2 linked regions of the Oryzias latipes genome follow. The protein of the gene in region 1 interacts with the protein of each later gene in a pairwise test. Links are inferred from orthologs where the notes say so. Each region holds a gene or a part of one and is shown on either strand. Other genes may lie near its edges. The genes, in order: zyx and tuft1.

Region 1 (9,984 bases):
AAGAAGTACATTTTTACAGCTACACATCAGTTGTTGCACTATATACATTTACAGATTCTTGACATCTCAATGACATTTTGGTTCATTTGGGCTTTTATTTTGGTGAGCTTTCAAGATTAGCCTCAATGGTTGCTACGTTTGTTATGCTAATGCTAACCTTGCAATTAAACACTTTTTAGAATAAAAAAAGGAATTAGCAGAAGTTGTAAAACATAAGCTTATGACAACACACGGTTTGGAATAAGTTCTTCACAACATAATAAAGGGACGCACAGACAGCAAAGTTAGCAAAAGAGTGAAAAAATTAGCAACCTATTGTTTTTATTGCATTTTGAAAACTTTTAATATGGAAATCTTTTCCACATTAAGTTTTCTTTTTGTTTGCTTTTAGATCACAGCCAATGAGCCTTTGAGGCTTCAATCAAAAACACAATTACTGCTGCTTTAATCTTCTGTCAGATCTGTAAAATCATACAAGCATCGCCTTTCCTGACACACACATGGAAATGAAAAGCAGGGCCTTTGTAGCTTTGAAATGGTTACACATTAAAACAGAAATCTAAATTGTAGAAGGAAGTAAATCAAGTTGGTTTAGAGAGTCATAGACTCTGGCATGTAGTTGTGATACGATACAGTGCGAGCGGCATCTGGAAACTATTAAGCAGGGTGAAGTCATCAGGAAACATGCAATTATTATTATTTCTATGTCGTGACATTTATTTAAGACCTGAGGTTCAGCACTGAGGCTGTGCGTTTGCTACTGATGCCGAGGCATCAGCTGATTTATGAAAACAGAAGAACCAGTCTGAGTCACGCAAGTGACTAAGAGTCACACAAGCCAGTCTGAAATGGGAACTATAGACACAATAGAGCCCCACACAGAACAGAACTGCTGTGACTTTCACAAAGACAAAAGCTGACATTTTATCTTGTCACAAGGCAGAATCTCATAGAAACAGGTTAGAATTCCTAAGAATTCTATTTATTTTTTTGCTATAATTCCACGACACATATTGACCGAGTTGAACTTGCAAAGAGCATCTCTGCTGTTAATGCTAGGATGACTCTTTTACACCATAAACTAAAGTCTAATTATGCAGGAATTATATACCCCCTTACCCTAGGTAAGCAAAAATTATGTTGATTAAAAGATTCAACCACATGACTAAGAAAAGGCCAAAAAAACATGCTGGATTTATTTGAGAATCAGACTAAAGTGTAAGATGTGCAACAAGTGTGTTGTTGCTGTTCTAATGAAAGTAAAAATTGAAAATTAGAGGCTGCAACTCGTGATTCCAAAAATAATAAAATCAGAGCAGACTTGCAGAAGAGACTAATGGGCATCTGCACTTCATCAATGAGAAAACAAGGCTGCCTATTGGTATTAGGACTAACAAGTGTGGATCTTTAATGAGTCTTAATTCAGATGTGCTAAACTTCACAGGGGGGAAAACCAGTAAAAGTCTTAATGTAAACACTAAAAACAAAAACAGTGTCAGTTTTTCACTTCTACCATGTCAGGATCATGTAATCCAGACACCCATCAACTGAACCAACTGAATCCCTTTTTCGGGTCATGGGGTTACTGGAGCCTATCCCAGCAACTCCAATCAACTCCAATGTTATGAAGCACGTCTTTGAACAGTGGGAGGAAGCTGGAGTGTCTGGAGAAAACCTTTGCATGCACAACATCCAAACTCCACACAGAAAGGTGATTGGAACCATGGCCTTCTCACTGCCCTGGATTGTGTCATCAATCATTAAAACCCATTTTGACTCCCTTACTACTTCACAGTGCAATACTGGGGTGAAACAGAGGAGAGGAATAAGAAATGTGCTTGGTTTTTTTGTTTTATACAGAGCTACACACTTAACAAAAATATTGTGTCGCAGGAACACAATTACTGAGGAATTTCACCTTGTCGGGACGTCGGGTTCTTGAACTTGACCTTGAAAGGCCAGATGGTGCAGCTTCAGCTGAAGCGAATATTTTTATTGTATACACAAAACGGAAAATGTAAACACAGAGTGAATGGAGAAAACTTGAGTTAACAGAGTAAATGACTTCTAATAATTAAGCAGGAGGTGGGGCTTAGCAAGGATGATGTAAACTGCTTGAAAGCAGTCTATACTGTCACCATCACTCCACTTTGTGTGACTGACACAATAGTCCTTTAAATAATGCATCAGGGTGAGTAAGTTCTGTAAGACTTCCTCTGGACCTTTAATAAAGCCCTCAGAGGTTTGGCTGGGTGAGATCAGTGATGCAGTCAGCCTCAGACATGAAGGTACGGTGAAACCTGAGACCACAGCCCCCTCGCTAAAGCCCACGTTTGGCTCAACAACCAGATGACATCACTTTTTCAGATCTCCACTCTCCCCCTCATCCATCGTTTCTGAACCCCCACAACGACAAACGATTCCCAGACATTCCGTGTATCGCTTGAGGCTCGGACGAATGTGATTTTTATCTCCATCGTCAGCCTCTCAGTCAAGTCTCAGCAACTACTTGAACTGCATGACATCATCTGAGGTCGCATTCCATTTTCCTGCTTTGCAGCTGTGAAGGGAAATCACTTCATGTACCTTTTCTTTTTAAGGGCTCCAGCTCCAATCACACGCAGTTCTTTTGGGCCCAATAATAGCGTCAGGTTTTTGCTGGACAACTTTCATACCATCTGGATACTGCAGCTTTTGACTTTCTTCATCCCACAAATGTATGTACAGATGGGAACATAAATGGCCTAAACTACACTGATGGGCCAGCGGGGTTGCTGGACTCATTAACAGATTGGGAAATCCCTGGTGGGAGAAATGGCATGACTTCTTTGAAGCTGGGCAGAAGGGTACCAAGGAGCAGCTTTTCTGGCATATCTGAACTTTTCACCAAAAGTATGAAAGGAGAAGTAAGCCAGGGTATTTTTGGCCCTCTTTTTGTTTTTGTCTTCCAGATGAAGATGATTAAAAAACAGATTTTTATCCTCCTTTAAGTAAGCAATGAGACATTATGTTGTAAAAATGTGTCATCAAATGTCTATCGCCAAAAACCCTGTTAGGAATATTGCCACATTGGCTCAGTAAGCAAGCAGATCTTAAGCAATCTTCTAGAAAGGAAGATATCAAATTACCAACCAAAACACCAAATTTCTCACAGTATTTGTGTTGTTGTTGTTGAAGCCCATCCATTGTTCTGATGGTAATAACACACCCGGTTTCAAAGAAAGCGTGTCTAGGTCAGGGGTTGCTAATGCAGGGGAGGGGGGAGGGGGGTGTCAAACAACCCTTTCGAGTGTGTTCTCACAGGTCACTGGACACATATTGTGTGCCAGTGACGTAGATCTTTTGCAACCGTAGCAACAGAAATAACACAACAGGCTGCATTTCCACATTTTTAAATCACAAGCAACCGAATTCTGAATCAGACGACACCTCAAAGCCCCTCCCTGGATCAACAGGCCCGCTCTCACGGAGTAATGTGGGCCAAAGAAAAGTCACAAGACGGCAAGAGACATAATAAAAGCATTTGACAAGAAGGGCTTTGAGCCAAATAAATGCTCTGACTAACAGAGGCTACAATTAGGGAAGATTCCTCTCATTCTTCGTGTCATGCTGTGTTTAATTTTACTCATCAAGATGTCAGAAGCACCACAAAGTAAGCACCACTAGTACCTCAGACTACAGTTGTCTCCCACTATTCTCTTCTTAAACATAGTTTATTCACTGCAGCCTTGGGGTTTAGTCTCACTTACAATTAGGAGAAATGTTGATGCTACAAATAAAAAACAAAATTAAAGCACATTACTAGAAGTTTCAAACCCCGTTAAACCTCCCTGTCTGTGGAAAAGCTGAAACTCAGATTTGCTTGAACATGACGTCAGGCAGAAGCAAAAACTCTTCAGCATGAGATGTAATCCCAGCGGATTTATGAATGTGAATAAGCAGACAAACATCCTTCTGGTCCCATGTGGTTTTTTAGAATAATAACCAACACCAATCTAAAACAGGTTTTCTCATCTATGCCCTCAGCTTGAATCAACCTTTAAAGCTCCAGCTGAGTAACTGTCCACAGGCAGAAACAAGTACAGCATCACAACCAAGCTGCCGGAGCTTCTGCTGAATCCTTTGTTTTATTTGCTCACCCTTGTAATATTTAATGCAAATTTAACAGATTATGTAATGAAATTTACAGATGAAAAAACACAGGTTTTTTAATGTTTGTGGCTACAAAGAGGGCTAGCTTAATCGAAAAAGATTCTAGCCTGCACCAGTAGGGGGCAGTAATTAAAATAAATGGGTTCAGTCTGTCTATGCAAAACCCAAAGAGGAAGTAGGAAGGATCCAAAATAAAGACTATACTCAATTCGAGTATCTTTAAATAAATACAATAATTGTAAAAATAAAATATATTGCTAACTTTTGAAATGAAGCCAGTACTTTTGACCGACTGGTGTTTAATTAAAAAGACTCAAAGTCCTAATAATTTTGTGGATATTTAAAAAAAAAAAAAATAAGTGAATGAAAAGAAATTGTTCAAAATTCATTAAATAATCTTCTGTTTTATGTTTTTTTTAGAGAACGGAAATTGTAAGATATATTTAAAGCCTTTTAAAAATATAGTTATTTGTTTCAATAAGTTGGATATTGACGAGGTGTTGAAACAGCTAGAAAAAAGTTTTTAATCATGCAAAACAAGTTAATTTCTCAAAATTGATGTAAAATCTATTTATTGTTATATTAAAGTACTTGGTACCAACAAGTACCTAAATTTAAACTGATAATTTCAACACAGGAAGAACTAGTACTACTACACCACATATTTTTATTGGACCCATTTGGCCCTCAATATGATTATGCTCTGATGGCGCCACAGACTTTAGAATGTAAGACACAGAGGCATAAACTGTTCCATCTCACTATAAAGGCTAGCTAGCACAGTCACTGTACCTAATAACTCCGGTGACCCTAAAAAAATATGCTAATTTTACCTTAAACTACACTGAGATTTATTTGTTTTGAAATCTATCTACGGGCAAAATCAACACTCACCTGAGAGCCTCGAACGAAAACGACACCTCTCATTCATCCAACAGAAGCGTTTGGCTAGGTCAGACCACTTGCACACACCCCTAGTAGTGTGCAAGGCTTTAGTCACTCGGCTTCTGCGGTGAATCGAACCAACACCCCCACACCTTGATCATTACCTCATATGGACACGTCAATGTTTAGCCGAGTGGCATCCATCTACGCTAATATTTCCTCTGTATATGATCGGCCATTAAAAAAAAACACCCAGCTAGCTTAGCTTACAGAAGTTTTCTGCTGGACTTCCTGTCGGAGCTTCCGCATAGCAGTCATCTGCAGCCCGCATTGTCACTCATTTAAGATCGGGGGATATTTGTGCCAATAAATAATAACATATTATTAAAAAAAAAGGTTTATACTACTGCAACAGAGTGATGTCCTTCTATTTAAGAGTATTTCTAAACGAATCGACAACATTCCACAAACCTGCTCCTTCATGACAGAGCAAAGGCTTTACCTTATTAGGTAAGCTCATTTCTATGAGGAATGTCATCAGCTTCAGCTCTCCTCATGTGCTGAGTCACAAAAACACACAAAAGCTTGCTTACCCTGGTAAACTGCTGCAGATTAGTTCCCTCTTTTCCTTTTGTTCTCCTTCCCCCCCTCCTCTGGGTTTAATCTGAGTGAGAGTTCTCTGTAGTACCAACTTCTCCTTTTCTCTTCCCCTATAAGACCCTCCCCTTGTGCCTTTAAGTCTGGAAAAGGAATGACTCCATCCTTCCAAACAAGTTCTTTCTCGCTTGACTTTGGCCCAAGACTTGAGTATTACGACACATCACCCTCCTTCTCTTTTTCTGTATCCTAAACTGTCCAGGCAGACCCCTCCTCCTCTTTTCTCCTCCTCCTGCGATCTCCTCTCTCTGGATTTTTGTGGCATTCTTCATTGGGTGACATCAACCCTGTTGCCTCTCCATGTAAGGTCAGACAGGGGGGAATGAGGGAGCCAGAGGGAGGGAGAGATAATGAAGCCAGAGGCCCGATCAGATGCAGAAAAGTGGTCAGGAGTTTAAACAAAAAGAGGTGCAGTGGTTAAAGCGCCGTGAGCCGTGGAAAGAACTTAGACGTTTACTCATTTCAAGAGGTTTAGAGATTAAAATATTGCTCAGGATCAGCCCCAACCCTTATTTGCTTTTCACTGGGAGAGTTCTCCATGTGAGATAGTCGACTGTTTTTCTGAAAGTAGGTCGATTCTATGCAGAGGTCAGGTTTTATTGTACTGTTATGATAAGTTGAAGGTTGTTAAGACAGTTTCTTAGACAAAACCAAACGTCAGAAAGTAGATAGAGACTGAGTCGATTTACGATGTATGTCAAACAAATTTCATCAGTGAATGCACGCAGGTCTGCATTGCGAGAAAAAAACGATATTTGGACCTCTGACATTGTTATTCTTCCACACAAGTGAAGGAAACAGCTGTGGAAATATATGCAATGACCTTAACCTAGCTGGAAAGAATCTTTCTATTCATATTTTGTCTTTGAAGACTGGACTCAAACAAGACCCACTCAAATGAAAATCGTGTTGTTGGTGTTTTTAACATGTTCTTGTTGCACTTTTTCTGATGATGGAGGACATATCTAACAAAAAATTAAGATTAAAGTTGGATTTCGGAATATTTCTTTATTCAAGTCATTGTAAATCAGGAGCAGACAAAAAAAGAAAACTGTAGCAGTGACATATGTGCTACAGTGGGGCCACAAGCTCCCTGCTGCACTCCATTCTGATGCATCCACTTGTAGACGACTAGATCCAAGTACGTCTTTGTTTTTTCTCGTCTGAGCTGGTATCTGGTTCAAACTGTACAGCTGGACAGCTCCAATTTGGCTCAATATTATTGCTGCAAGACTAATGTTAGCTTGGGCCAATTAGGGGCTGTAAGTTAGCGGGAGAGAGTGTAAACAAAGGGATGATGGGAAATGCAGGCAGGCAAATTTCTGATTAACTATGTCCTGGAAAATGACACCGGTTATTTGATTTTGCCTTAAAACGGCATAACCATAATGAAAAGACCACTGGGAACTCATTTACAATAGATGATTGGAGCCGAACATTGAGGACACGTTTTAAATGACGATAATGTAATTTGTGTATAAATCCCTTCTGGAATTTCAATCAAACTAAAAAGAGTTGATTTCTTTGGCCAAGCAATGCTTAAATGCCACTCAGGGTGTGTAACCATGGGCTTGCCCTGTTGAGGTCTGACACAGACAGCCCTCTGCAACAGCTGTTGTGTAACCTGTTGCTGCCCAGGTCACGTCTGTGAACTACGGGGAGTGCTTATCAGGGTTTTTGATAGTTCATTGTCTCACAAAGGAATGTTTCCACTCTCTCCCCATTTCCAGGGAGACAAAAATGCGCTCAGTTTCCACTCCAAGCAGCAGCTTTGGGGAGCCAGAGGGATAAGGCAGGATATCCATATTGAGGCTGCAATCGCTCATGCCAGTACCACATAATCTGAAGAAAAGCCTTTTCTTCTGCCATTTCTCCCAATTCACCAGGCTTGACAGCCAAGGGACGGACATGTGCATGAACTGTGCAGGGGTGTGCTTATCTAACATCAAAACACTGTTGTGCCATTGGTAAATGAAGCTGGGAAAAGGGTTGTGTGGAGTTTATTTAAGGTAAGAAAAAGAAAAAAACAGGTGTCTTTTAGAATTAGGCAGAATGCCTGGAATGCGGCCAGAACTTGGACTCAATAGCGCCCACCTCTCTTCCCTCAGCGTCTGCTGATGTGCCAAATTTTTTCTCTGCCTCTATCCGTAAAGCTGCATTTTTTCAGCACCTCATTTTTTTCTCTGTCTCCTCCTTACGCTGCACTTTTTATTTCCAGTCCTATCTCTATTCCACTACTTGGCCAACACCTCCTGCATATAAATCAGGCCCTGCTCATAACACCTCAATCTTAATTGTTAATTCCCTAATCATTTTAGTTCCAAACAGCGAGAGTCCATCCAGTTTCCCCCTTTTCTCTGTGGATGAATGTAATCATTTTCTTAATAAAAAAAAATTCAGATTTCTTTCATGCCGTACAGATTTTTTAGTCACGTCTAAACTTCAAACTCAAAATGTAAGGGGACCCATTAAAACTAATAATATTAAGTTTTCCCAATTCAGCAAAAATAGCAAATGAACACATAACAAACAAACAATGCCAGTATAAGGAATACTGGCCTTCAGTATCCAAGAAGTATCAACAAAAAACCGCAAAATAACATTACAAAGGCTTATTTACACAGCTTTTGCTCAGGACTGCATTGATGAATATCAAACCTAAGTAGCCTTTTTTGTCATATTGTCAAAATTAAAAAAAATGTAACTAATTTTGAGTAATACAGTTTTTATTCAAAATAGACATTTTTAAACTATAAATGTTTTTATAATTTTTCTTCTAGACTTGACATGTAAAAAAAAGAAATACTGCATTGCATAAAATAGTGGAAATTAATATTACATTGCAAGCCTTAACATTAAGCAGATGTGTTTATTTTAGCATCAATCTAATAATTCAGTTATATATTACCGGTACATATGCAGAAACGGTCAGCTTCCTTGTACACATGCACACTGATGAGAAATAATCAAATGTTAACAAATAAAATGTTGAGGCTCACTGAAGGTTAACAGAAAGCAGAAGAATGGTAAAGTTGAGAAAAAGGGATCTAAAACTAAAGCACAGTGATAGCAGGCAGGTCCAAAAGTTTAATCAGAAATTAAAATTTAGACTACGCTGAGCAAAGAAAGTAAATTTAGTCTCAAACAATCCAGCAGTAAAACGCTCCTGAAAGTTTTGATGATGTATGTTCTTTCTGTGGAAGTAATTAGACTGAAATACATTTTAAAAATGTAAAAGTGTTACAGAATTAGTATTTTCATGTATTAAACACAAAAAAAAATCTCTATGCATTTAGGTGCAAATCAAAGATTAGCATGGGAGGGAGGACTTTGCTCCCAGAGCTTAAGGCTGCAATGAGCCGGTCTCACCAGTTAGTGTCAGGCTGACACACATCACAGTGCTGCACTGGGCGACTGGGAGAGCTGGAGATTCCCTCACCTTCTCCACCAGCCGGCAAATCAGCATTCGGCTTGGGACACTTTGGGAATTCAGGGAAGGGTGGTAAAGTGAAAAAATAAAAAACTTTCATTTGGTTAAGATCCTGAAAAAAACTGACAGCTTGTTAAGGAAGATGGAAACAGGAGAAACGTCCTGGACACAAGAGAACCGCATAGAATGAAGAGGGCCGCGTTGGTGACAATAGTCTAAACATGAGGAGGGGCCTGGAACAAGAGAGTGTAGGGCGAACGGAATGAGGAGAGGAATAGGAATTGTTAATAATAGAAGACATTTGGGAAATGTTTATCCAGCCTTGGCTTTCTGTACCTGCAGCACAAAAACACACAGAAGCGCACCAGATATGCAAAAGCTTTTTCTTCAGACAAAGACGTGTACAGTAGACCAACGTCTCATATCAACCAATTAGTTGAATTAACCAAGACTCCTGTCTGTTCAAAAGATAAACCGAGCCAGTAGAGATTGAGTCTGTTTGTTTTTAGGGTATTCATGTTACTTAGTGGCAGAGCTAGAACATTTTTTTTGGGGGGGGGGCAGAAGACTTTGGAAGGGTACAAACACAAACAGCAGAGTGGAAGGCCATAACAACTGAAAAGATCAAAAATATTTTTGTTGTTGATGAGTTATTTATAAGTTTTTCAAAACTAAGAATTTCCTCTTGCCTTATCAGATTTTGGCTGAGGCCAGGTTACTGACGGCCCAGATCGGCCGGGACACCCAAATACAGGGGCGTAGCTAAAAATCTGAGGGGCTCAGGATATCATTTAATAATATTGCTTTTATTTTTTATTTTTTTGCAATGCCTAAAGAAGCTTGGTTTCTTAATATTCATT
Region 2 (9,379 bases), about 1.9 Mb from region 1:
AGGAGGCTCTTGTCGAACTGGCTTCTATGTACGTAAACAACCTTTCTTTGTACCCGTTCTTTTGCTGTTTTGGTTTTGTTTTGAATTCTCTAACAGGAAATGAATTATTGAGTTTGAGCAGTCTCCTCCTCTGCGCGTTCCTCAGTGTGAAGTCTGGCGGCAGCTCCACTGCGAGTCAGCTCCACCAGTCTGCAGCTGCAGACCTGTCCAGCCCCTCTGAGCCTCCAGGCGCCTCGGTGTCTCCGGACCAAACTGCCTACCTCACGTCTTCTTTGCAGCAGCGCAGCAAGAAGCCCAGACACTTCCTGGAGCTGAAGAACTTTAAAGACAACTACAACACGCTGGATAATATTGCATAATGCATGATCAGAGAAAATAGTGCCAGTGACGAGTGCCTGTACAGGACCATGTCACCTTTGCCTGATAGAAAACAAAAAAATGTTGCCTTCCTATCTTAACATGCACTGCCTGCTCCACTCATGTGTATCAGCTCACTCTTTCTGTGTAACTTTAATTATTTTGCATTATTGCATGTTTAAATTCTATATTGGGGTGATACAACATAAGGAGGGTTGATTTGACCAAAAAAAAAGTAAAGCTATGAGGCTATGCAATGGAATAAGACAATCAGTACCTATATCACAATATCACAATATAAAGGCATTTGCACACACGTGTTGAATATTTTGTTTAAAAGTGAACAGAGTTTTTAGCAAATATAAAAAGCTGTTTCACACATAAAAGATATTCCTGTTTATGTACATTTTTTATGATAAATTTGGGTGCTTCTGTTACAAAAGCTCTAATTATTTTCAGGAACTGGTGATTTTATTTTATTTTAATTAGTTCCATGTGTATTTGTTACTTTAGTGCAATGTAACTTTAACCGATGAGTATTTTAGTTCATGAACGTGCTCTTAGGTTTGAGGTGTGGCCTCAGGTGAGTTTATTTTATTTTATTAAGGGTATTCTATTGGTTGTGTTTGATACATGTTCATATATGACATTTAGCATTTTCTTTAATGTGTTTCTTATTAAAATTGTCATGTCAAAACATAAGCAAAAGCTTTTGCATTCACAAAAACTGCCTATAGTGTTTTTATGCACCTGATCAGTATAATAAAGAATATACTCAATATGCTTTTTGGTACTTTTCTAGTTGTAAAAGTGTTTTTGTGTTTACTCATTAGTATAGCTCATTAACCCTTGTGCTATCTTAGATGACCCCACCCTTACATTGACGTGTTCTCCCTAGCATGATAAAGGTGGAAAGATTTCATGTAATCCATGGACACCAGTGAAGATCACAAATCATTGAAGAAAAAAGGTTCAGCGCACTGGCTAGTGCAGAGGTGGGCACTGAGGGCCGCATTCCTGCATGTTTTCCAGCATACCCTGCTCTGGCACGTTCTAATTGGCTGGACACACCTGAACCAGGTAATCAGCCATGAGTAGGGCAAGACTATCTGGAAATCATGCAGACACACCGGCCCTCGAGGCCTGGAATTGCCCACCCCTGGTCTAGTGGGTCTAGATGACCCAACTCCCAATGTTAAAGGATATAAGGATAGCAGAAAGGTTAAAATATAATGTAATGGTTCATTGTGTGATATGATGCTGCTTATGAGTACACTTGTAGTACCAGTTAGGCCCAGGAGAGGTCCTCATTTTCAAGCTTTTAACCCCATGACAACTAAAATATTTCCCAGCTATTAAAAATTAAATCAGTATTGTTTTTGCTTTCAAGTAGATGTTGCATGGACCCTTGTGCTATCCTATGCACTTTAACGTTGGGAGTTGGGTCATTTGGGTCTAAATGAAGAAAAAAGGTTCAGAGCACTATCTAGTGGGTCTACTAGATAGTGCTCTGAACCTTTTTTCTTCAATGATTTGTGATCTTCATTGGTGTCTATGGATTACATGAAATCTTTCCACCTTTATCATGGTAGGAATAACACGTCATAGTAAGGGTGGGGTCATCTAAGATAGCACAAGGGTTAAAGCAGATGTGGTTTGATGCATATTTGCATCAATGGGGTTAAGCAAAGTCTCATAGAGCCACGTTAATTCAAAGCCTTTTATTCAGAAAAGCACAAACGCATATTACAGATTAGCCTTTTTACAAGCGTCTCTATCAAACAGTTGACAGGTTATTAAAATAAATAAATAAAACACAGGGAAGTTAAAAAATTAAAACACCGCATCACAAACAACAAAACATCTGTACAAAAGCAAAATGATGGGGAATTGAAGTCTAGAGGTGCTGAGAAGGCTAAAACACAAATGCACTATCTTTCATTTGAGTGTCTAAAGTGCCTTTTTTTTAGTTCAATCACTAATGAAACAAAATCCAAATAGTTTTTAATATAGTCAACAGCTACTTTTCAAAGCACAATATCATAGGCACAACAACTGCAGTCATGGGTGAGTAACTATTAAAACACAAAATTCAGGACCAGTTAGCATGTTTTGTTGTCATGACACCACTTCATCTTCATTACATTGATGCTACATTACTTTATGAGGCTGTGAACTTGTAAAACGATAAAGATGCAGTTTTCATACGACATCATAAATGCTAAACGGGTCACCAAACCAGAGCAAGGAAAAGGAGGTCAATTGAAAATTGAAAGTTAGTGAAGTTGCAGCTGCAGTATTGGAAGGCTCAGCTCTGATCTCCTTATAGGTCAGTCTGTTGTCAGCAGAGCTGCTGTCTAAATTCTGCAGTCAGGTGGTGTGTAAGTGCTCCTCTGTCCTTCTCCTCTTTTCTTTCCATCCTTCATGACTTGATCTCGATGACTTTGATGAAAGGGAGCGGTTTGTTGGAGGAGGTGGACAGCTTCAGTGGCTTACTGTTGGAAAAACAAAGACACTTTGAAGTATAAAATATGTCAGAAATTACCGCAAGATCTTTTTTTTTAACCAAAAATTAATTTTAGCCATTTACAAAAAACAATTAATGACATTTTTGCAAGCTGTATTTTGCAACATTTGCAGTGGAAATGTTGGAGTGAAGGCAAAACTGGCTACCTGTAAACAATCTGGGGGTTGCGCTCCGATGAATGGTAGGATTTTGGCCTTTGTCCTCCCAGAAAGTAGTCCACCTGGTCATGCATTTCTCGATTCTGAGAATTCAAGATGATTTAAAGAATTAAATTAACATTAAAAAGGCAGAATTAATTTCAGGAACAACACAATCTTTGCAAAGATCCGGCCAAACAAAGCTGCTTTTGCTGATTTTTCTTTTAAAAAGCGTCTGCTTTTTCAAAGTTCCTGAGACATTTTGAGGAAAGGAAATAGAGTGCAGTTCTCACCTCGGCTTCCAAAAACGCCACTTTCTCCTCCAAGTCTTTGATCACGCGGTCCCGCTCCTGAAGCACCATGCGCGAGTTCTGGAGCTGAAGACAGACAAACACAGAGTAAGCCTTGTGAAAATATGAGCATGGAGATGAGGTTCTAGATTCTCACACATGTGCGTCTCACCTGTTCAATCATGTGTCTGACTTTCCTCTGTTGGCTTTTCAGCATATCATCCAGATGGTGGATCTTTTCTTTGAGAATAGCGACCTCTTTCTCCAACTGTTCAGACCTAAGAAGAACACCCAGAGAGTTGCAGCACTTTGAGTTGCAGCACTATAAAGACCCACTCCAATGAAAATTGTGTTTTTGTTGGTTTTAACATGTTTTTTATTTTATTTTAGCGAAATTATATTTTTCATTATAATTAAAAGGGAACACTGGGAACACTTTTAAAATAGTTCCAAAGATAGACGGACGGTCTTTAATGTGATATTTGACGCTAACCTTTGCTCCCCTTTGTGGCCATCTTCTCTGATCCTCCGCAGCTCCTTCAGTTCGTTCTCACGGCGTTGGAATTCCTCCCTGAGGGTGGCGCTCTCCTGCTCCATTCCTCCCAGAAGCCTCTGGAGCTCTTCGATGCGCAAGTCCTTCTGATCGCCTGCTTCCTCTGCACTCCTCAACTTCTTCTCCTGCTCACTGAGACGTTTTTTAAGCTGGTAGCCCTCAGCCTGGAACAGACGCAGTTCAGTTTCAATGTGGCCTTTGGTTTGGTTTAACTGTAAAATGATGAGTGGAATGCAGAATACAACCCATGCCTCACCTGGAGTTTCTCTTTCTCCTCCAGATGTTTTTTCTCTGCATCCTGCAGCTGAGCATATAAGCGCTTGCTGACCTCTCTCAGGTTGTCTCTCTCCGCTTCGTCGTCTACATCCTGCAACGTTCGGAAGGAATCGTCAAGACCACATAATCCAAATATTTTACTATGAGGTAATGAAAATCCATGCAACACTCGGCTCTGTGGGTTTCACTGTCATAACGAAAACAGGCGTGTTAGTGTGCGTCACTGGAAAAGTTGGCTGTTGACCAGAGACTCCCTCCTTTTTCTGCAACACCTCTGGTATGCAGGCGAGCTGCACCGTGAGTCACCACTACAACCACAAGTGTCTCACAAGTGCTGTAAGCAAGTAAGCAAACATACACAACTGTGTTGTTTTTGCTGACGTGTGTTACGAGAGGACGACAACAAAAATATTACGGGATTTGAAGAGGAAAGCCAACAAAAAAAGCAGGGAAGGAAACCCAATGTGTTGGAATAGCTCCTCTATGCATTTTTATGCATCCTGGGAGGGGCATTTCATCCTTTCATTCTATTAAAGTCTCTTTATTTTCCCACATAACCTTGTTTGAGTTTACAAGGGATTTTTTCTGCGTTTCTGTCAACTACATCACTAACCAAAAAGGCTCAGACATTTAGAAGAAACACAATCGTGTTTCAGATTCTCAGTGCTGACCTGCGTGTTGGCTCTGGCCGATTCTTTGGGGACGGACGAGGAGCTCTTTCTGAAAGGAATGCTGACCTTCCACCCGTTTGTGTGCGGCTGGAAAGAGAAAAGGAGGAAGTTAGCATGGAATGATGGAGACCAGAAAGTCTGGAAACTACAAGCAGAGAGGATGTGGCGCTAACAATGAAAAAAAGAAGAGAACAAATGAGTTTTTCTACCTTGCTTTTAGCTGCCATCTGCTCCCTCAGGGTTTTCAGGCAATACCTCACCTGCAAGAAAGAAAGGAATGCTGTCCGTTAATAACATTAAGAGGAGAGGTTTGGGTGTTTTGGATTTTGAATGTGGCCTTTTCATGATGAACTACTGAGGTGACACAGTAATAATAGCAATTAACCCTTAAAACCACACCCCGCCTTCAATTTCTCAGAGTCAGCAACAATGTGTTTATGCCGTCATTTCAGAGGTATTTATTACAGACTAAATATGTGTTAAAGTTCATTTTAATAGGTTAAACTTTCTAGGTTCAAGATCTTTTGCCAAATAAATCCCATTTTAGAACAAAATCTAATGAAAATACATTTTCAAACCATTTCCAGGTCAGACTTCAAGCTTTTCTAGCATCTTATTATAGCTAATGTTGTTTTTTATTTATGAAAAATAACTTTTAACTTTGGGCTATCATTTAAGAGGCTTGAATAGTAAAAGTTTTATTCTTTGGGGAATTTAAGTAGAAAATTGTATCAAGTTAGTTTTCATAAATAGTTCCAAGGGTTTTAATCTTGTAAAGACAAACTGAAGTTTTCAGGATCATCTTAAGGGAAGCGGAAAAATCAGATTGTAAATTAAAAAAATGGAACACATTGCAAACATGAAGAAAATATTGTATATAAAAAAACAGATAAACTAGCAAATTTGAAACAAATATATTTGAAACTTAAAAAAATATAGAAAACGTGAAAAATATTGAAGTTTTGAAAAATAAAATTGTAAATTTGAAAAAACATATTTTAAACTTCAAAGAAATATTTAATATAGGGAAAAAAACATGTACATTGGAAACTTGAATTTAAAAAGGAGAGATGACACAGGAGCCTCAAACAACAAACACTTTTTTGGGGCAGAAATGATGTCCCCATAACCTCTATCACCTGATGCCAATCATGTCCCCGTAACAAATGGGCTCGAAGCCCCACCCCCATGTAAAATTAAGATTTATTTATTTATTTCAAGTTTTACATTTTTTCTCATTTAAAATATATATTTCTCAAATTTACAATTGAATTTTTTAATATTTCCTTCAAGTTTATGATGTGTACTTTTAAGTTTAAAACCTGTTTTCAAATGTTCAAATCATTTTTTTATTTCAAATTTACCATCTGATTTTCCCTTCACTTTAAACTGATTCTCATTAGACCCCATACAACTCAATCACATAAACAAACATGTAAACATATGCATCTGCTTCAGATGATATCCAAACTGACCTCCTGTATCTGTGAGACTTCGTCTGACAGCATCTTCAGGTTCTGCTGTTGGTTCTGCTGCTCTTGTCTGCGAGCCTCCAGATACACCTGGAACAAGGAAGAACATCAGGAATGCACACCTGTTGAGCAGACAAATACAAAAAAAAAAAAAAGGAGGTTGCCATTACAGAAACAGTCACACCCACCTTTATGGTCTCCACCTGCTCCTCTGTGGACTTCACAGGCTCTGCGCTCAGAGTCGGCCGCTCACTGGCTGGCTGCACCACTGCAAAAGCTCGCCCGACTGGCTGCAGACCAGAAAGCAGGAAGTGAAAAACATTTTCCAGCGATCGTACGCAAATGTACCCCCGAGGGAAAATATTAGGGGAGTCGTTTCTGATCAGTGTTGTAACACAGCAGCCAGCAGAACATCTGTTTATGATCCTCGTAAAATCTGACTGGAATGTCTTCAGCGCTGACGCAAATGAAACGCTGGAACGTCAGAACAGGGAACATGCAGTCTTCTTACGAGCACATTTACCCTGTACTCATGTGACAGACTGAGAGCCATGATCAGCAGGAGGCCAAGAAAGATACAACCAAATCGCCATGGAAACTGACCAATAAACTTTTGGTGCTTTTTTTTTGGAAGGGTGGACAGACTTGGCAGAAGCAAATGCAGAAGGAGAAGAAGAGGGGAGGAGGGATTACGCAACGCCTCCATTCTGTGTGTCCCACTGGTCTTGGTGGAACAATGAAGGTCTTTAGAAGTTTTAAGTGTGTGGTAACCACAACAGCGAGAAGCAGATGGCAGCTCCAGCAGAGGATATCTAAGTGAGTGTGCAGGAATGCTGGGAGCTCTGTCTATGATAAACGTCATGGAACTAATTAGGATTCAGAGGGCTAAAGAAAGTTGGTCCTTTTTTTCCAACTCGGATAAACAAAAGTCAAAGGAAAAGTTCCATCCAAAACGTCAGCCTGGTTTCCCTCAGAGGACCTCTTACCTTGTCCCGGTGCTGCTCCGAGCTCCGAGCCGCCTCGCTCTGGTCGTGGAGTGTGAGCCGCAGTCGCCTGCACCCCTCCTGAAAGTCAGACGGAGATGAAGTGAGCGCTCAAAGAGGCCGTTATGTGATGGAGAGCCTGCTCAGGGACTATTTTGAGGAGGAGAAGGAAAAAGAGGAGGGCAGACTGAGTCACACTCGCCGAGGACCCGGGAGGAGAGACGGGGGGGGCGGTACCCTGCGAGAGACTCGCACTATAGGCAAAAGTTTTTTCGCTACAGCAGACAGACTCTGATTTCAACTGTTTGCTGTAGACGTCAGGGGGATTTAGGCAGAAGCCCTCCAGATGCTCACAGCCAATCGTAGCGAGAGGCTGGATTTTCTGGGAAAGTGGGCAGAAGGTCCTCTGTTGAGTAAGAGAAAATATTTCCATGGCAGCAAATCCACACAGTCGCCATAAACTGTCACGATGAAAGACAGCAGATTCAGTTTAAGGTGAAAAATCAACATTAAGCCTCACAACTAATGCTTTTCCCACCAAAAAAACAAAACAAAAAAGAAACAGTATTGGGTCAATATAAAACACTTTTATTCCATCCTAACTTTCTTAGACAGTTGACTGCAGTCATTCAAAACAGCCCCTTTAATAGTTAAAGGTTGAAAGCAGGATGCCACTGGGTGTGGGTCCTCCAGCTCACAGTAGCCCCCCAACTGTGTCAGGGGTAAGTATGCGGAAGAAAGGGGGGAGGAGGTGGGAAACATTGCATAACTCATTGCAGTTAACATAACTTGTGTTTATTTTCTCCCGAATAGATCTAGTCTCCTCCCTATGTCAGCACTGAAACTACATACAAATGTTTGTCAGACACACACACACACACACAGACACACATGCTCAGACTAATCAGTCATTTATTATAACTAGCTAGTTAAAACTTTGATAAAGAACAAACGCTGATTTTTTGTTGAGAAAGAGTCGGCTAGGAACAGTAAGGAATGCCTTTCCTTCTTTATCCGTTAATAAATAACTTCCACTTTTCTTTTTTCTGACCTGCGGCGTATCAAATCTACGCTCATTTAACACAATGCCTCAAACTTGATCATATAAGGAGCGTCATATGAGGAGACGCTTCACGCACAGCATAATACATGGCAAACATCTCATTTCTCACAGTTGTCCTGTGATAAAAGTGGGTTCCTCCAGGCTTTCCCACACTTTCATAATGACCCCTTATCTCAGTTCAGTCACAACAGCCTTATGTGGGAAGAAATGAAACTTCATCTGTTTAACTGACACTTAGCTGTTCCCTCAAACCCCTTTATCTGTCGAAGCTTTATTTACCACAACAGAAGATAGTGTTTTGTTGGAGATTTGGGCTTTAATTTGTCAGTTTTAGCTCAACTGTTGCTCCCATTTAGTTTAACTAGTTACTGTATGACCAGTTTACATCTATTTAAAATTCAAATTATGAGAACTGGTGACTCTTCTTTGGTCTTAAATGATGTATATTTTTAGAAATTGTTGGGGGAAATGGAAAAAAATATGTACCAGTAGTTTAAACCTGTGAAACTGTTGGTCAGAAAAACAATTTAGTCTGGCAGGGCGGAAATGAAGCCAGCCTTAAAGGGAAGCTGAAGCACGAGATCCTCTGTTATCTGTGCCGGAACTGAAGAGATGAAAGCAAAAAGCAGAGAGAGGCAGACGGACTTGGAAAGGACAGGATCAAATGAAGAACCAACCTCCTAGATGAGACTTAGTCCAAGTTCAACAAACAGAGCGGAGAGACACAAAAGGAGAAGTTTCTCTTAAATAAAGTGCTTTCGGGTTAACAGGACACCACCGTTGGGACAGGAACAGTGGGTGGGAGCGGGGGCGTTGTTGAGAAGGAATTTCTCATTGTAAAAACCTTTCCGGACTCTCACACATAAACAGGGTTTCTCCTAATCTAGACTCCAAAATGTTTACGCTCCAGCCTCACCGTCTGCTTTCTCTTTCACATCCAAAAATGCTCACTATCCCATCATCAAACACAATCTGTGAAACACTAACCCCTGGGAAGGCAGACAAAAGGTCAGGATGTTCACGTGCGCACATGCACAGGTACACAAGGCA

The links.
Region 2: the proteins of zyx (region 1) and tuft1 interact in binary tests that used the Homo sapiens proteins (3 or more experiments, as listed by UniProt). The link is inferred for Oryzias latipes from reciprocal best matches to the Homo sapiens genes ZYX and TUFT1.

Annotation. Positions count from the first base shown.
Region 1 is NC_019874.2:20,178,943-20,188,926, reverse strand, and holds the start of zyx (zyxin), read right to left. Parts: upstream 5,866-9,984; 5' UTR 5,631-5,865; intron 5,332-5,630; exon of another isoform or gene 5,047-5,331; intron 1-5,046. UniProt on the Homo sapiens protein: Adhesion plaque protein. Binds alpha-actinin and the CRP protein. Important for targeting TES and ENA/VASP family members to focal adhesions and for the formation of actin-rich structures.
Region 2 is NC_019874.2:18,230,510-18,239,888, forward strand, and holds the end of tuft1 (tuftelin), read right to left. Parts: intron 7,348-9,379; coding exon 7,270-7,347; intron 6,574-7,269; coding exon 6,472-6,573; intron 6,374-6,471; coding exon 6,287-6,373; intron 5,072-6,286; coding exon 5,021-5,071; intron 4,899-5,020; coding exon 4,812-4,898; intron 4,232-4,811; coding exon 4,121-4,231; intron 4,029-4,120; coding exon 3,805-4,028; intron 3,590-3,804; coding exon 3,484-3,589; intron 3,399-3,483; coding exon 3,315-3,398; intron 3,126-3,314; coding exon 3,031-3,125; intron 2,853-3,030; coding exon 2,780-2,852; 3' UTR 2,064-2,779; downstream 1-2,063. Other genes in the region: uncharacterized protein C1orf43 homolog, read left to right, coding at 1-28, 146-359. UniProt on the Homo sapiens protein: Involved in the structural organization of the epidermis. Involved in the mineralization and structural organization of enamel.